Linked DNA regions of Saccharomyces cerevisiae S288C. The protein of the gene in region 2 purifies or fractionates together with the protein of the main gene of each other region. This does not show direct contact. Each region holds a gene or a part of one and is shown on either strand. Other genes may lie near its edges.

The links.
Region 1: the proteins of SNT1 (region 2) and SIF2 purify together in Saccharomyces cerevisiae (affinity purification with mass spectrometry; 7 studies listed by BioGRID, with this or other methods). This does not show direct contact.
Region 3: the proteins of SNT1 (region 2) and SET3 purify together in Saccharomyces cerevisiae (affinity purification with mass spectrometry; 6 studies listed by BioGRID, with this or other methods). This does not show direct contact.

What each region holds. Positions count from the first base shown.
Region 1 is NC_001134.8:445,860-449,816, forward strand, and holds SIF2 (Sif2p), read left to right. Parts: upstream 1-1,849; coding exon 1,850-3,457; downstream 3,458-3,957. Other genes in the region: exocyst subunit EXO84, read right to left, coding at 1-1,464; YMC2 (organic acid transporter), read left to right, coding at 3,808-3,957. UniProt on the Saccharomyces cerevisiae protein: Antagonizes telomeric silencing in yeast. May recruit SIR4 to non-telomeric sites or repression.
Region 2 is NC_001135.5:182,453-192,528, forward strand, and holds SNT1 (Snt1p), read left to right. Parts: upstream 1-4,036; coding exon 4,037-7,717; downstream 7,718-10,076. Other genes in the region: BPH1 (Bph1p), read left to right, coding at 1-3,571; fatty acid elongase ELO2, read left to right, coding at 8,140-9,183; exosome non-catalytic core subunit RRP43, read right to left, coding at 9,382-10,076. UniProt on the Saccharomyces cerevisiae protein: Part of the Set3C complex, which is required to repress early/middle sporulation genes during meiosis.
Region 3 is NC_001143.9:497,078-501,493, forward strand, and holds SET3 (histone-binding protein SET3), read right to left. Parts: upstream 2,757-4,416; coding exon 501-2,756; downstream 1-500. Other genes in the region: SAP190 (Sap190p), read left to right, coding at 1-281; GMH1 (Gmh1p), read left to right, coding at 3,205-4,026; SPO14 (phospholipase D), read right to left, coding at 4,267-4,416.

The sequences.
Region 1 (3,957 bases), on a different chromosome or scaffold from region 2:
TCTTTTGTTTTTGTTAGGGCTTCTGTTGTTTTCTCTACCTGGGGTTTGTTGCGTAGATTGCAAATATCTAAAGGACTCTCTAATACGTTTAGAGTTCTCCTCTTCTACATGGAATATGTCGCACAAATCATCCTTAGCCTTTCTTATAACGTCCAACAACCTAGAGCATTCGTCTGCGTCTCTACATTCATACAAACTTGAATTCGAATTGCTAAACTTGAAAAGTAGCCTCTTAGTGGAAAATTCCTCTTGCGTGACAGTGACATCCTTTAAAGGATAGCACTGGCTTACTATAAAGTCATTTTGCTTATCTCTTGATTTATCGGCGATAAGTACCAAATCATTCAAAATGAAAATCTGTACCATCTGCAAGGGTTTACCAGTGGTAGTATTTAATTCCATCCAATTGGCACTATTCATTAAAATATGTCTTCCTTTCGTAGAATTGATAAACTTCTGAGCACCTTCAACGTTCTTAAACAGCTGATCCAGTTCCGTATCCCAAAATTTCTCTAATATCAAGACGCTCGATCTGTCCCTCCTCATGAGATTCCCATTTTGTCCTGCTTTCAAAGGCGGAAGTAACGCTGGACTATTAGAATGACTTTCAACATTGTTAAAATTGCCTTGTCTCTCTTGATCTATTTGATCCTGCAATTGTAACCTTTTTTCAGCTATTTTGGTGCACTGATCCAAAACCTCGTTTAAATCATTTATATTTGCTCTAACCCTTTTAAGCTCCAACATAGCAACATTTAGGTCGTTGTTTACCGTCATGATTTCGTTATATGATTTATTGATATTTAACTTTACTTCTTCTTGGACCTGTATCGATAAATCTGTTAAATTTGAGGTAAATTTATCAATAGTAATGGCACTCGCATTGCCTAGTTTATCATGAACAAAATCTTTAGCATTAAAATGCGGGTTTGCCAACATCTTTCTTAGCGACGTGCTATTATTGAAAGGATCATTACTGCCGGAAGGATTGACAGTATTTCGCATTGCTGATCTAGCAGGCACCTTATTATAGGAGCTGTCGTTCAGGGAGAGATCGGCAGTTGAAAGATTTAAACTGTTGGAAGGGCCTTTAGAGCTTACCGATTCGTTCTCAGTGGTGAAACTACTATTATTATGACTACTATCCACATTATCATTGGGAACTATCATGTTTGGCATATCAGGTAGGGGCATTGAGTAATCTAGTGTAGGTGGAGCATAATTTGTATTATGAATTGATAGTCTTCTCTGCATTGAAGTTGCTACCCTACTTCTCTCCCTTGCATTGATTGTTGGTAGCGTATAACTGGTAGCCGGATCCTTGAGATCACTATAAGGGTTCTTTTTTGTTTTTTGTTTAGGCTTAGCAGGCGATGGAGGTGTCTTTTGCTTAGCAGGAGAGCTTGCAGACTTCTTTACATGCTTCCAATTGTTTCTGGCCTTCTTCAAAGAAAACTCAACCATTTTCACAGTACAAATATTTCAACTTTCAGTCTCTTACCTGGTCTAATATGAAGGCTTTTTGTTCATTCGGCTTTGCTCAAGGTCTTACAAATATACTATTAACTGCAGTCTCTAGTCTCTTTTTCCAGTCATCTATTTTCATGGAGCGGAACTTAGCAAACGAGAAATAAACAAAAATGATTAGGAATGTATTCATGTTGAAAAGGTTATGAGATATGCAAGACCATTCGTTTTGATTTGCAATTAGTGAGAACAATTTAAACACCTTGGTGCGAAATTGAAGGTTTTTTTTTCCAAAGAAGTGTACAGCCCACACTAACAACTGCTAACTCAGATAAAAATAACAGAAACAAAAAAAAGGTAGGGAAGGCCCATCACACGGAAAATGAGTATAACAAGTGAAGAACTAAACTACTTGATATGGAGGTATTGTCAAGAGATGGGACACGAGGTGAGTGCATTAGCATTGCAGGATGAAACAAGAGTATTGGAATTTGATGAGAAGTATAAAGAACACATTCCTTTGGGTACACTGGTGAATCTAGTACAAAGGGGAATCTTGTATACAGAAAGTGAGTTAATGGTTGATAGTAAAGGTGATATCAGCGCTTTAAATGAACATCATCTTTCTGAAGATTTCAATTTGGTTCAGGCGCTGCAAATAGATAAAGAAAAATTTCCTGAGATCTCTTCTGAAGGAAGGTTCACTTTGGAAACCAATTCCGAGAGTAATAAAGCAGGTGAAGATGGCGCTAGTACTGTTGAAAGAGAAACCCAAGAGGACGATACTAATTCTATTGACAGTAGTGATGACCTAGACGGATTTGTCAAAATACTGAAGGAGATAGTAAAATTAGATAATATTGTTTCCTCCACTTGGAATCCATTGGATGAATCTATACTCGCATACGGTGAAAAAAATTCTGTTGCAAGACTAGCGAGGATAGTAGAAACCGATCAAGAAGGGAAAAAATACTGGAAACTCACGATAATAGCGGAGTTGAGACATCCTTTTGCTCTGAGTGCAAGTAGTGGTAAAACGACGAATCAAGTCACATGTCTTGCTTGGTCACACGATGGTAATTCAATTGTCACGGGTGTAGAAAATGGTGAGCTAAGACTATGGAATAAGACGGGGGCACTTCTGAATGTTTTAAATTTTCATAGAGCACCTATAGTATCCGTTAAATGGAACAAAGATGGAACACATATCATATCCATGGACGTGGAAAATGTCACTATACTCTGGAATGTTATAAGCGGGACCGTCATGCAGCACTTTGAATTAAAAGAAACCGGTGGCTCATCCATCAACGCAGAGAACCATAGTGGCGATGGTTCACTTGGGGTTGACGTTGAATGGGTAGACGATGACAAATTTGTCATTCCTGGCCCTAAAGGTGCTATATTTGTATACCAAATTACAGAAAAAACGCCCACTGGTAAACTTATTGGACACCATGGACCTATCAGCGTTTTGGAGTTCAATGACACCAATAAACTTCTACTTAGTGCCTCAGACGATGGTACTCTAAGAATATGGCATGGCGGTAACGGCAATTCTCAGAATTGCTTCTACGGACACTCACAAAGCATAGTATCGGCATCATGGGTCGGTGATGATAAGGTAATATCCTGCTCGATGGATGGCTCCGTTCGCCTATGGTCGCTGAAGCAGAATACGCTATTGGCTCTATCAATCGTGGATGGTGTCCCAATTTTTGCTGGAAGAATATCACAAGATGGACAGAAGTACGCAGTTGCTTTCATGGATGGGCAGGTAAACGTCTACGATTTAAAAAAACTGAACAGCAAGTCACGAAGTCTTTATGGTAACCGTGATGGGATTTTGAATCCATTACCAATTCCCCTCTACGCTAGCTACCAAAGCAGCCAAGACAATGATTATATATTTGATCTGTCATGGAACTGTGCGGGAAACAAGATTTCTGTAGCATACTCGCTTCAAGAAGGTTCAGTTGTAGCCATATAATAACTAGGTACAGTACATAAACAGATGAATTTTATCATTCTTATTGTTATTTCTTTGTTTACAAAAGGTGAAAAGTGAAAAATTTCGCAATGGAAAACGTCGCGGGCCGCCTTTGAGTGACGTTGTGCAGGAATCTCGAAGAGTCATCACTTTGAAGATAACGGCCGCTCGCGATGAGAGAAGACAATGAGCATTGCTTTTTTATAATTTTTTATACCTTGTGTTAAAATAAGTTTCTTTAATTAGTTTTCACCTCTTGGATGATACAACTGTAATTGATAAATAGGGGTAGCCATAAAGAACAGAAAAAAGCGGCGCAATAATTTCGTGTATTACAATTACAGTTAGTCATGAGTGAAGAATTTCCTACGCCGCAGCTTTTGGATGAATTGGAAGATCAACAGAAAGTTACCACGCCGAATGAGAAGAGAGAGTTAAGTTCTAATCGTGTGTTGAAGGATATTTTTGCGGGTACCATCGGTGGTATTGCACAAGTTCTT
Region 2 (10,076 bases):
CCTGATGATGTTGAAGCATCCATACACGATGTCAAATCTCCTTTATTTTCTTCGCAAATTTCGACCTGATACGTCACAGATAGTTATGCCTAAAGATTTTTATTTCTCAAGTTATACATGTCTCTTGCATTGTGTTATTCAGATTGATAAATCATCATTTTACCATTTCAAAAACGTTTCTAAGTCGCAACTGTTACAGGACTTCAAAATCTGCATAATGAACTTAATATATTCCAATACTCTAAAGCAGATAATCTGGGAGAAAGAAGAATACGAGATGTTTTCTGAGTCACTGATGGCGCATCAGGAAGTTTTATTTGCACATGGAGCATGTGATAATGAGACCGTTGGCTTATTGTTAATATTTTTTGCCAACAGATTACGTGATTGTGGATACAACAAAGCAGTCTTCAATTGTATGAAAGTGATCATTAAGAACAAGGAAAGGAAACTAAAGGAGGTGGCGTGTTTTTTTGACCCAGCGAATAAAAGTGAAGTACTCGAAGGTTTAAGTAATATCCTCTCATGCAATAACTCTGAAACAATGAACCTCATAACTGAACAATACCCATTTTTTTTCAACAATACACAACAGGTACGGTTCATAAACATTGTCACCAATATCTTGTTTAAGAACAACAATTTTTCTCCAATAAGCGTTAGACAGATCAAAAACCAAGTTTACGAATGGAAAAATGCAAGATCAGAATACGTCACCCAAAACAATAAAAAGTGCCTTATTTTATTTAGAAAAGACAACACATCCTTAGATTTTAAAATCAAAAAGTCCATATCAAGATACACTTACAACCTCAAAACGGATAGAGAAGAAAATGCAGTTTTCTATCGAAATAATTTAAATCTTTTGATTTTTCATCTGAAACATACACTGGAGATACAATCAAATCCAAATTCGTCCTGCAAGTGGTCATCGGACTTTGCAGAAGATTTTGATGGGATGAAACGGAGGCTTTTGCCTGCTTGGGAACCAAAATATGAACCACTCATTAACGAGGAAGATGCTAATCAAGATACTATAACAGGTGGTAACAGACAAAGGAGAGAAAGTGGAAGCATTTTATCCTACGAATTTATCGAACATATGGAGACTCTTGAGTCGGAGCCAGTTGGAGATTTGAATGAGAATAGAAAAATTCTTAGACTTTTGAAGGATAACGATTCCATTGCAACTATTTGGAATTGCAGTTTGATTATTGGATTAGAAATTAAGGAGGGGATTTTAATTCATGGCAGTAATTACCTTTACTTTGTAAGTGATTACTATTTTAGTTTAGAGGATAAAAAGATTCTAAAATTATCAGAAGTATCGCAAGAATCACGGGATATGACGGTTAGCTTAATTAACGGCCCTGATGTTAAAAGGGTATCAACTTTCCTAAAGCACGAAGTCTTTGTTTGGAAACTTCTCGATATCACTTTCGTTACCAAACGACCCTTTCTACTTCGGGATGTCGCCATCGAATTATTGTTCAAAGAGAGAGTTAGCGCTTTTTTTAGTTTTTACAACAAAAGAGTGAGAGATGACGTTTTACGGGTACTGAATAAGATCCCGAAGCACCTTCCAGCAGATCCAATTTTTTCAAGCGTTTTACAAGAAATAAACGACCGAGGAAATAGTATAGTGGCAAGAAATGGAATAGGAAAGGCAAGCATTGCTTCTAAATTCACTAGCGTCTTCTCAGCGAACAACAGCCTAATAGATGGATTTGAGATCAGCAAAAAATGGGTTAGGGGAGAGATTTCTAATTTTTATTACCTGTTGAGTATCAACATCCTAGCGGGAAGGTCATTCAACGATTTGACCCAATATCCAGTGTTTCCGTGGGTTATTGCAGATTACGAAAGTAACGTACTCGATTTAGAGAATCCTAAAACTTACCGGGACCTATCGAAACCTATGGGCGCTCAAAGTGAGAAAAGGAAATTACAGTTTATAGAGCGTTATGAAGCTTTGGCTTCCCTGGAAAATGCTGATTCCGCACCATTTCATTATGGCACGCATTATTCCTCAGCTATGATAGTATCTTCATATCTGATAAGGCTGAAGCCCTTTGTCGAATCCTTTTTGTTATTGCAAGGCGGAAGTTTTGGCCCTGCAGATCGTTTATTTAGTTCGCTTGAAAGGGCCTGGAGCTCTGCTTCTTCTGAAAATACAACGGATGTCAGGGAATTGACACCTGAATTTTTTTTTCTACCTGAATTTTTGATCAACGTTAATAGTTATGACTTTGGTACAGACCAAAGCGGTAAAAAAGTTGACGACGTCGTACTTCCACCCTGGGCAAATGGTGACCCAAAGGTTTTCATTCAAAAGAATAGAGAAGCTTTAGAAAGTCCTTATGTATCAGCACATTTACATGAATGGATTGATTTGATATTTGGTTACAAACAAAAGGGGGACATTGCTGTGAAATCTGTTAACGTATTCAACAGATTGAGTTACCCAGGCGCTGTAAATCTAGATAACATTGACGATGAAAATGAGCGCAGAGCTATCACAGGCATTATTCACAACTTTGGTCAAACGCCTTTACAAATATTTCAGGAACCTCATCCGGAAAAAATAGCCTGCAATGTTCAACAGCTAACAACAGAGGTATGGCGTAAGGTTCCAATGAAGCCAATATTTGAGAAGACAATCTTTAATTTGAATGAAAAGAACAGGTCCGTCGATTATGTTATACACGATCCTAGTTACTTCGATTCATTATACTGGAGGGGCTTCGCTTTCCCAAACTTGTTTTTCAGAACGGAAGAATCGTTAGTGTCATTGAGAATTGTGCATAAAAATTGGTTAAAAATTGGACTAGATATTTTTAAAAAGACGCATATGGCTCAGATTACATCGTTTGCGTACTGGAAGTTGGGCGAATTCATAACTGGCGATAAAAATGGGCTGATAAAAGTTTGGAAATATCGTAAAGATAAGCATTCGGTTTCAGGTAACCTTGAGAACAAAAAAACAATGTTTGGGCACCTATGCGAGCTAAAGGAGATGCGCTGTTATCACGACTACAATACGCTTTTAACCTTAGACATCAGCGGCTTAGTATATGTCTGGGACATGATTAATTTCGAACTAGTAAGGCAAATAACAAATGATGCGCAAAAGGTCGCAATATCTCAACATGCAGGGAGCATTATGGTATTGACTAAGAATAACGCCATTTCGATCTTCAATCTAAATGGACAAATATATACATCAAAGAAATTCGAACCAGCTAAAATTGTAAGCTCAATTGATTTTTTTGACTTCACTAAGTTAGACGCAGGTTACAGAAAGCATATCTATTGGAAAGAGATGGAAATACTACTAGTGGGCTTTGAAGATGGAACTATAGAAATTTACGAGCTCTTTTTGAATTTTCATAATGAATGGGCGATAAAGCTACTGAAGCAGCTCTGTACCGAAAAAGGGAAAGCCATAACTAGCATTAAGGGACAGGGGAAGACATACCTGTCCCAGAAAAGACGCAAGGATACAGCAGAGCCTCATGAGATAGAAGTGATTGCGGGAACATTAGATGGCAGATTAGCTATTTGGTACTAGGCATCACATCGTAACGCCTTTCTTTAAATGATTCAATTTTTGTAGTTTATATCTTTACTTTTGAAACTGATTTCTCATCCCATCTAGTATTGTAATTGCGTACGTATCCAATATCATTACCAACGCCGGGTATTTTTTTCTAGTATTTCTTCTCCATTTCGCCTATGGAAAACGGCAAAAGGGTAAAAGAAAAAAACAAACGATTAATTCTTCTTTGAATTATGTAAAAATCAAAACGCAACCGCAGATTTAATAGAGACCAGAAATTCGGATTACTATTGACTTTGTGCACCACCTTCAAATTTACTCATTGTTTAAGACAGGCAGTGGGAAAGAAGCCGTCATATTGCTCGAATCCTTAACAAGCAAAATATACAACCACTAAATTATTCCGAAAGGGCCTGCTTAATAATTTGCCTACTAACTTGTGCATAGAACAGCAAACAGAAACAAAGCGTAAGAAACATGGGGTATCCGCCACCTACACGAAGGCTTGGAGATAAGAAAAGGTACCATTATTCCAATAATCCTAACCGAAGGCATCCTTCCGCTGTTTATTCCAAGAATAGCTTTCCAAAATCAAGCAATAATGGATTTGTATCTTCTCCTACTGCCGATAATTCAACAAATCCGTCTGTAACTCCCAGTACTGCATCTGTACCTCTTCCTACAGCGGCACCTGGAAGCACGTTTGGTATCGAAGCACCCAGGCCATCTCGATATGATCCGAGCTCAGTCAGTAGGCCTTCGTCATCATCTTATTCGTCAACAAGAAAAATTGGAAGCCGTTATAACCCAGATGTGGAAAGATCCTCTTCAACCACTAGTTCAACTCCGGAAAGTATGAATACGAGCACCATAACACACACCAATACGGATATCGGAAACTCACGCTATTCTCGAAAAACCATGAGCAGATATAATCCTCAATCTACTAGTTCTACAAACGTTACCCACTTTCCCTCGGCATTATCAAACGCTCCACCGTTTTATGTTGCCAACGGGAGTTCTCGGAGACCTCGATCAATGGATGATTATAGTCCTGATGTAACGAACAAGCTCGAAACAAATAATGTTTCATCTGTTAATAATAACAGCCCTCATTCTTATTACTCTAGGAGCAACAAATGGAGATCCATTGGAACGCCTTCCAGACCACCATTTGATAATCATGTCGGCAATATGACGACCACCAGCAATACTAACTCGATCCATCAAAGGGAACCTTTTTGGAAAGCAAATAGTACTACTATTTTAAAATCAACTCATTCACAGTCATCGCCTTCCCTTCATACTAAAAAATTTCACGATGCGAATAAATTGGACAAACCAGAGGCTTCAGTTAAAGTTGAAACACCCAGTAAAGATGAGACAAAAGCCATATCGTACCATGATAACAATTTTCCACCAAGAAAATCAGTTTCTAAACCTAATGCACCTTTAGAACCCGATAATATCAAGGTTGGCGAAGAAGATGCATTGGGGAAAAAAGAAGTACATAAAAGTGGGCGTGAGATAGCAAAGGAACATCCTACTCCTGTAAAAATGAAAGAGCATGATGAACTAGAAGCTCGCGCTAAAAAAGTAAGTAAAATCAATATTGATGGAAAGCAGGACGAAATTTGGACGACGGCAAAAACAGTGGCCAGTGCAGTCGAAGTTTCCAAAGAAAGTCAAAAGGAACTAACACGCTCTGTTGAAAGGAAGGAAAGCCCAGAAATTAGAGATTATGAAAGAGCATACGATCCGAAAGCCCTGAAAACAGACGTAACAAAGTTGACAGTAGACAATGATAATAAAAGTTACGAAGAACCTCTTGAAAAAGTGGAGGGGTGTATTTTCCCATTACCAAAAGCAGAAACGAGATTATGGGAATTGAAAAACCAGAAAAGAAACAAAATAATAAGTGAACAAAAGTACTTACTGAAAAAGGCAATTAGGAATTTCTCAGAGTATCCTTTTTACGCACAGAACAAACTTATACATCAGCAGGCTACCGGACTTATCTTGACGAAAATTATATCAAAGATAAAAAAGGAAGAACATTTGAAAAAAATAAATTTAAAACATGATTATTTCGATCTCCAGAAGAAGTATGAAAAAGAATGCGAAATTTTGACTAAACTGAGTGAAAATTTAAGGAAGGAAGAAATCGAAAATAAACGTAAAGAGCACGAACTAATGGAGCAGAAAAGACGTGAAGAAGGTATCGAAACAGAAAAGGAAAAAAGCTTACGGCATCCATCCTCGTCTTCCTCATCTCGTCGCAGAAATAGGGCTGACTTCGTTGATGATGCGGAAATGGAAAATGTATTGCTACAAATCGACCCAAATTATAAACATTATCAGGCTGCTGCAACAATTCCTCCGCTAATTTTAGATCCAATCCGCAAACACTCTTACAAATTCTGTGATGTAAATAACTTGGTTACAGACAAAAAGCTTTGGGCGTCTAGAATATTGAAAGACGCCTCTGACAACTTTACTGACCATGAGCACTCTTTATTTTTGGAGGGTTATTTAATTCATCCTAAAAAATTTGGTAAAATTTCTCACTACATGGGCGGCTTAAGAAGTCCTGAAGAGTGTGTCCTACATTATTATAGAACAAAGAAAACTGTGAATTATAAACAACTTCTTATCGATAAGAACAAGAAAAGAAAAATGTCAGCCGCTGCCAAGCGCCGCAAGAGGAAGGAAAGAAGTAATGACGAGGAAGTCGAAGTTGATGAGAGTAAAGAAGAGTCAACGAACACGATAGAGAAGGAAGAAAAAAGTGAGAACAATGCCGAGGAAAATGTTCAGCCGGTTCTAGTTCAAGGTTCTGAAGTGAAAGGTGATCCATTAGGTACACCGGAAAAAGTTGAAAATATGATTGAACAGAGAGGCGAAGAGTTTGCAGGTGAATTGGAAAATGCTGAGAGGGTAAACGACTTAAAAAGGGCGCATGATGAAGTTGGAGAAGAGAGCAATAAGTCCAGTGTAATAGAAACCAACAATGGGGTACAAATAATGGATCCAAAAGGAGCTGTTCAGAATGGTTATTATCCAGAGGAGACCAAAGAACTTGACTTCAGTTTAGAGAATGCGTTACAGAGAAAGAAACACAAATCTGCACCAGAGCATAAAACAAGTTATTGGAGTGTTCGTGAATCTCAACTCTTTCCAGAATTGTTGAAGGAGTTTGGCTCTCAATGGTCTCTCATATCAGAAAAACTGGGTACCAAATCTACTACAATGGTAAGGAATTACTACCAAAGAAATGCAGCTCGCAATGGATGGAAATTACTGGTTGATGAAACCGACTTAAAGCGAGATGGGACTAGTTCAGAATCTGTACAACAATCTCAAATTTTGATACAACCAGAACGACCAAACATCAATGCCTATAGTAATATTCCTCCTCAACAAAGACCGGCTTTGGGTTATTTTGTTGGACAACCAACTCATGGGCATAATACATCTATTTCATCTATCGATGGCTCTATAAGACCATTTGGGCCTGATTTTCATCGTGATACCTTTTCTAAAATTAGTGCTCCTTTAACCACTTTACCACCACCAAGACTACCATCTATTCAGTTTCCTCGTTCAGAAATGGCAGAACCTACAGTGACAGATTTGCGTAACAGGCCCTTAGACCATATTGACACGTTGGCTGATGCAGCTTCGTCAGTAACAAATAATCAAAACTTCAGTAATGAAAGGAATGCAATTGACATTGGCCGTAAATCGACGACAATCAGCAATCTATTGAATAATTCGGATCGAAGCATGAAATCTTCTTTCCAAAGCGCTTCAAGACACGAAGCACAGCTCGAAGACACTCCCAGCATGAACAATATTGTAGTACAAGAAATAAAACCGAATATTACTACGCCAAGATCGAGTTCTATTTCTGCATTACTAAATCCTGTAAATGGGAATGGGCAATCAAACCCAGATGGAAGGCCGTTGCTGCCATTTCAGCATGCTATTTCTCAAGGCACTCCTACTTTCCCTTTACCGGCCCCTCGCACTAGTCCAATAAGTCGTGCGCCTCCAAAGTTCAATTTTTCGAATGATCCGTTGGCAGCTTTGGCTGCGGTTGCCTCCGCGCCAGATGCAATGAGCAGTTTTTTATCTAAAAAGGAAAATAATAATTGAACAAACGGCTGAGACGGGCAATACATATGCTCTACTTCTTTTCCATCCAATGGTTGGTGAAACTCTCGAGCATACATTACCTTACGTGTGTTAGTGTACTATATTATATATATATATATGTATATATATAAAGGGAGGAGTTTTTAATTATAATTGTAATTTCGTATTTTTTCTGCATTATACAGTTTTTTCCGATTTTAAACGACTTTATTTAAGTGTCGTGTAAATATGTCACATTTTATTTTTGTACGTATTCACATGTCCTGGCGTGCGGCCATTGCTGAAAATCGCAAAACCCACAGAGAAATAAACATCGCGAAAAAGTCAATGAAAAATTGGAAAATATTTTTCATTTCACTATTATCCACAAGCAATTTTGTACAAAGTGAAAAGGTTGAACTAATTATCTTCGTCTAGAAGCCATGAATTCACTCGTTACTCAATATGCTGCTCCGTTGTTCGAGCGTTATCCCCAACTTCATGACTATTTACCAACTTTGGAGCGACCATTTTTTAATATTTCGTTGTGGGAACATTTCGATGATGTCGTCACTCGTGTAACTAACGGTAGATTTGTTCCAAGCGAATTCCAATTCATTGCAGGTGAATTACCATTAAGCACTTTGCCCCCTGTGCTATACGCCATCACTGCCTATTACGTTATTATTTTTGGTGGCAGGTTTTTGTTAAGTAAGTCGAAACCATTTAAATTAAATGGCCTTTTCCAATTGCATAATTTGGTTTTAACTTCACTTTCATTGACGCTTTTATTGCTTATGGTTGAACAATTAGTGCCAATTATTGTTCAGCACGGGTTATACTTCGCTATCTGTAATATTGGTGCTTGGACTCAACCGCTCGTTACATTATATTACATGAATTACATTGTCAAGTTTATTGAATTTATAGACACCTTTTTCTTGGTGCTAAAACATAAAAAATTGACATTTTTGCATACTTATCACCATGGCGCTACTGCCTTATTATGTTACACCCAATTGATGGGCACCACATCTATTTCTTGGGTCCCTATTTCATTGAACCTTGGTGTTCACGTGGTTATGTATTGGTACTATTTCTTGGCTGCCAGAGGCATCAGGGTCTGGTGGAAGGAATGGGTTACCAGATTTCAAATTATCCAATTTGTTTTGGATATCGGTTTCATATATTTTGCTGTCTACCAAAAAGCAGTTCACTTGTATTTCCCAATTTTGCCACATTGTGGTGACTGTGTGGGTTCAACAACTGCCACCTTTGCAGGTTGTGCCATTATTTCTTCATATTTGGTACTATTTATTTCATTTTACATTAACGTTTATAAACGTAAAGGCACCAAAACCAGTAGAGTGGTAAAGCGTGCCCACGGCGGTGTTGCCGCAAAGGTTAATGAGTATGTTAACGTTGACTTGAAAAACGTTCCTACTCCATCTCCATCACCAAAACCTCAACACAGAAGAAAAAGGTAAGTGTAAAATCTTTGAAAGAATTTAAGTATTCAACTTTCGTATATTCGTTTTTTCTTAGTGGATCTATTGTTACTATTATCACTATTATTATATTGTAAAAGACCGGATGGTTTTGTTATATATTACATACACATGTTATCGTTGAAAAAAGTTTTCCGTTTCCTTTCGACAGTCATCAGATAATTTTATCCGAGTCTTTTATATGTTAAATCTTGTTGACAAATCGTCCGCTCTAACCCTAGATAACAACAATGATCTTTTTATCATTTCTGGCGTTATTTTAGCGCCTCCTCCCACTAATGTTAATTGCTTATAGTTACCTGAAGGAGCAGCGAGGATGGAGATCGTACTGTGTATACTTGTTTCTTCCGCTTCAGTATCTAGGTCTGCTATTAGCACAGTGTTCAATTTATCCATATCAATGTCCACTTCCTCTTCTTCAGAGTTATCAGAGTTTTGTAATTGGCATTCGGGGTCTAACTCCACTATCCCATAATTTGAAGCAAATGCAATATTCTTTGCGTTTATCATTAACGGTACTGACTTAGTTTGGTCGCAAATAATTTCATACGTTTCTCTTATGGTGGCACTTCTTCCTCTTGTTCTTATAGTCATTCTTAAATCGGACGCACGCTCATCTATAAATGCTCTAGGTAACTTTACGCTCTGTAAAGCGTACATCAAAGAATTCCAACACAAATCGAAGACTGGACCAGTGCGACTCAAGACTACAATTTTCGCATACAAAACGTATGACCATTTTCTTTTCATTTTCAGGTTTGTTTCATTCAGCGTATCATCTTCTAATTCATCGGGATACAAGACGGAAAACGTACCGTCTTCATTCGCACTACGAACACCAGCTTTTACCTTCAAGGCTTTTTTAGGCAATA
Region 3 (4,416 bases), on a different chromosome or scaffold from region 2:
ATCCTAATGATGATGGCCAGTCATATGCCAGACCTGGTAATCCATTGTATACTACCCCGAAAACACCACCAAGACCGAAGACTATTCTTTTCAATTCTTTATCCGCATTGGATAATAATGGCGAAGACGAAGAAGTGGCACTAGGCACCAGTGTTGATGATCGAATGGATAACGAGATATCAAGCGATGAAGAAGACTCCGAAGATGAAGATGAAGAGAATGATATGGGCAATGAGGAGGGCTACTCATTATATAGGTCAAGAAGTAAAGAAGCTTTCTGAACTAAAACATTCACATTGTCACATTTTCACCCTTTATTCATCAATTTTTTATTGCTCCACTTTTTTCGCATATAGGTCATTTATAATTCATCAAATATATACTTTTTTAATTGAGGCTTGTAATTTAATATTAACCGAATATAATCTTATAAAGAATAATGAATATTCACTTTTGAATATACTTAAGTTTATATAGGTGTAAGAAGGAAATGTCCATGTTTATTTCAGTAGTTTTTTTCTGTAATCCGCAAAGCTTAATTTCTTTTTCGAATGCAGTTGTGAGGACGAAAAATCTGATAAGTGCATTATACTTTCTGGAGTGGATTCTCGCCTTGAATTAACCGAAGCTTCTGTCATGATTTCTTTTGTTTTTGCTTGACTGTGTTGTGCTTCCTTTGACAGTTCTTTATTGAAATTTGAAAGAGAAGGGGTTCTACTTAATTTATGTTCATTCTTTGATTGACTCTCTTCGACATCGTTTGCAGTTTGCCTTGACGTCTTGTTTATTGGTAAAAGAACTGGAATTGGTAATTCTTCAATATTGGTAATGTGTGATTCGTCATAATCTGTGCTCTTCGTAATTATTAAAGGTTTTTCTGAAGTTTCATTTTTTTTGGGAACAGAAATATTAGAAGAATGTTGTGCAAATAAGGCGAATTTGAAGGGTTTTGCAATATCATCAGGATTATTTGTACTATCAATAGTATTCTTTTGAGGAATTTTTGGACCATTATTTCGATTAAGGAATTTTTGTCGATAAAAATTATTCAAAAGTATTGGAGCTCTTTCTATAGTATTTTGAGCCTTTTCTTCTAGCCTATGCAAAATTGGTGGCTCACGTCTCTTTTTGCAATTATATTGGTTGAGAATTTCATTTAATTTATATCTGTTGTTCATTTTTCCTCTGGATTTCACAGATTTATAAAGACTTTGCGCGTATCTCTTCACTTTCAATAAATAACAATCTTTAGAATTATTTCCACAGCCGCATTCGCCGTTACTCAAAATTGTTTCTACCGAATTTATCAGCCCATACCTTTCAAGGTCATCTAAAGAGTCTATTGTCATGCCCTTTATTAATTTTAATATAGGATGTTTTGAATCCCACTGCCATTTGATGTATAACTCCTCATCCTCTGAAATATCTCTCAAAGCTCTTAAAACAAATTTTATTCTACTTGATTTTCTTCCACTGCTTTTGTCATTCCTATTGTCTGTATCTTGCAGTTTTATAGTTACTAATTCAACATTCGGCTGGCAACTTCTTCTCAAATACCTAGTTGAATTGCCTGATAAGCGTGCATCTATATATATCGGCCAATGGGAATGGAAAATGACCCTTCTTTTAGCTGTACCCCATATCCTGTAATGGTTTCGTGGGTCAGTGAGATAATTTTTATAGAAGTCCAATTCGCCTAAAATTTCTTGAATGAAATCACCTTTTATGCAGTCCTTTTTGAGATAAACTCCTAATTTCGTGAAGCCTGGGTAAGTCCTGGAATATGCAATGTCAGCATACGGTTTGACTTCAATTGACACAGATTTAAAGGTCTTATGAGGATATTGTATGACCCAATTATCATCCATATGTTTATTTAAGAACGGTTCGATCAGATCACTTTTAAACACATTGTCTTTCAAGGGCAAGTATATTGCACCATATGCGTCTTTTGCACTCAGGAAATGCTCTTTTTTCTTGGGCATAGAAGTCAATCCATCGGAAGAATTGACAGAAGCGCTTTCGTTTTTGGAGTCTATACTATTATTTGATGGGTTTCTTTTCCTTCTTTTGTCCCTGTGGTTAGTATTGTCCTGATCCGTTGAAAAGCTATCGCCAACGTCACTAATAGTTGTACTCGATGCTCTGTCCCGACCGTTATTCTTATTACTAGCACTATTGTTTGATGAAGAAGGTTCTACTGTTTTTACGTTTATGCGTTCCTGCTGTATTTTCCTAGCCAAGTTAATGTCTACCTCTCTTGGATCACATGAGTTGCAAAGGTAATCATCAGGTGCCATCCCAATATCTTTGATGCCATAGCAAATAGCATGCTGCCATCTGTTGCAGTGGTCACATTGGATAGTGAATCCATCATCATCATTTAAATCACATATACATGTAATTATACCCGCGTCAGGATCGACTATATACGAATCAGGTACCGGCCATTGAGGTTGCTTTTGAGGTTGATTTTCGGTCTCTTCTTTTGCTGCCGTGGATGTTGCTGCTTCTGCCGCCGATTGCTCAGTAGCTTTCTTTAAAGGTAAAGAAACTGTGGATGCTGTAGCCAGTGCTGCTGCTGCCATTTCTATTGCTCCTTTTTTTTCTCTCTCATGAGACTCATCATGCTCAATAGTATCTGTTTTAGAGCCTATTTTTGAAGCTTCTTCAGCTCTTTTTTTCCCTTTTGAAAACAATAACAATGTGGATGCATCATCTAGGAGCGACTGCTCTTTGGAATTAGGTACTGACATGATTCAGTTCTCGTATTTTGTGAAGTACGATCTAAAACTGTTGTATATACGCTTTAAATCATGTTTACTAGAAAGGTCCTTTATTACTACTTTCTGTATATAGCATGTCGTTGATAATGATATGCATCTATCATGACATAGTAAGATGAATGAGTTGGTTGAACAATTTCCAGGGAAACAAAGGACTAGTTTCATGTCTTTAATGTTTTTTTACGAATAATATACCATGCTATAAAAGTATTATAATAAAAGGTATCGACTACCTGTAATCTAGAATGATAATTTCATACAACGATCACTTCCAACGGTTAAATAATTACCAATAGACCTTACTAGAATATTAAACTTAACAGGTTTAAATTTTGTTGAAATAACTGCAAAAAGCCAGAAAGAAACAGATTTGCACTATAATTTTTCGATTGCCACTACTTAGTCAACGGATTTATCAATGTCATATTTGCCGACTTATTCCAACGACTTGCCAGCAGGCCCGCAAGGCCAGAGGAGGCGTAATAATGGTAATGAAAACGATGCAAGACAAGGCTACGGTCAGCAATCTGTGCCGATGGTAATCAGGAGGCTTTTCAAAACGCCAAAGAATTTAGATCTCGAGACAGCCAGCTGGGAAATGTTCCATTTGATTTTCCATCCAAGAAAAGCTTATAGATCAATATATTATCAGCGACAGACGAAAAATCAGTGGGCGAGAGATGATCCTTCCTTTTTCATCTTCCAAATAGCCTTAATTTCACTCAGTTCTATTATTTGGTCGATTTATAATTCAGGTTTCAACAACGACAGTGATATGGGGGCCTTGAGCATTATAGGTCATTTTTTCAAAAGTTTGGTAATGATGGTGATTTTAGATTTTTTCATATTTGGATTTATTATGGCAACTATTTTTTACCTTTTGTTGAATAGGTCACATTTTAAATTCAAATCGAGCCAAAATAGTGTGGTAGAGTGGGCTTATTGTTTCGACGTTCATTGTAATTCATTTTTAATCATCCTACTGTGCCTATACTTCATTCAGTTTTTACTACTGCCCATAATTAATTTACAAAACTGGATTTCCTTACTCATTGGTAATTCGTTATATTGTTTTGCTATTGGCCATTACTTTATTTTAACCTTTTATGGATACAACCAGTTGCCATTCTTGAAAAATTTGAACTTTATACTTTTACCAACATTAGGATTATCGATAATCTATTTAATCAGTTTATTTGGCATCGACTTATCCAAGAAATTAAGCTTTTACAATTATTAAGCAATTGAACACGGAAATAGAAAAAATTTGGTTCTTTAAGATAAAGCACATAAATTACATAATGATATTATTATTATATATATTTGAAGTATAAAAATGCAATGAGTAATAAGAGCAATAATGACACTATGGACCAAAAGAATGCATAATGAAAACTGTTTATGTATCAGCGTCGAATGCTTATAACAGATAAAAGGAAAATACAGGTAATGGTGTGTTCCTGGTCGTTTTTATATTCCCTTAATTGTAGATTTCCATTGGAGAAAGTCTATCCGAGTTAAAAATCCAATTTCTACTCTCAACTTCTTTAGCTAACCATTCGGTTGGGAAAATGACCAAATGACCGTGGATCCTTTCCAAGATTCTCTGCGCCGTATGTTTGTCAAAAAC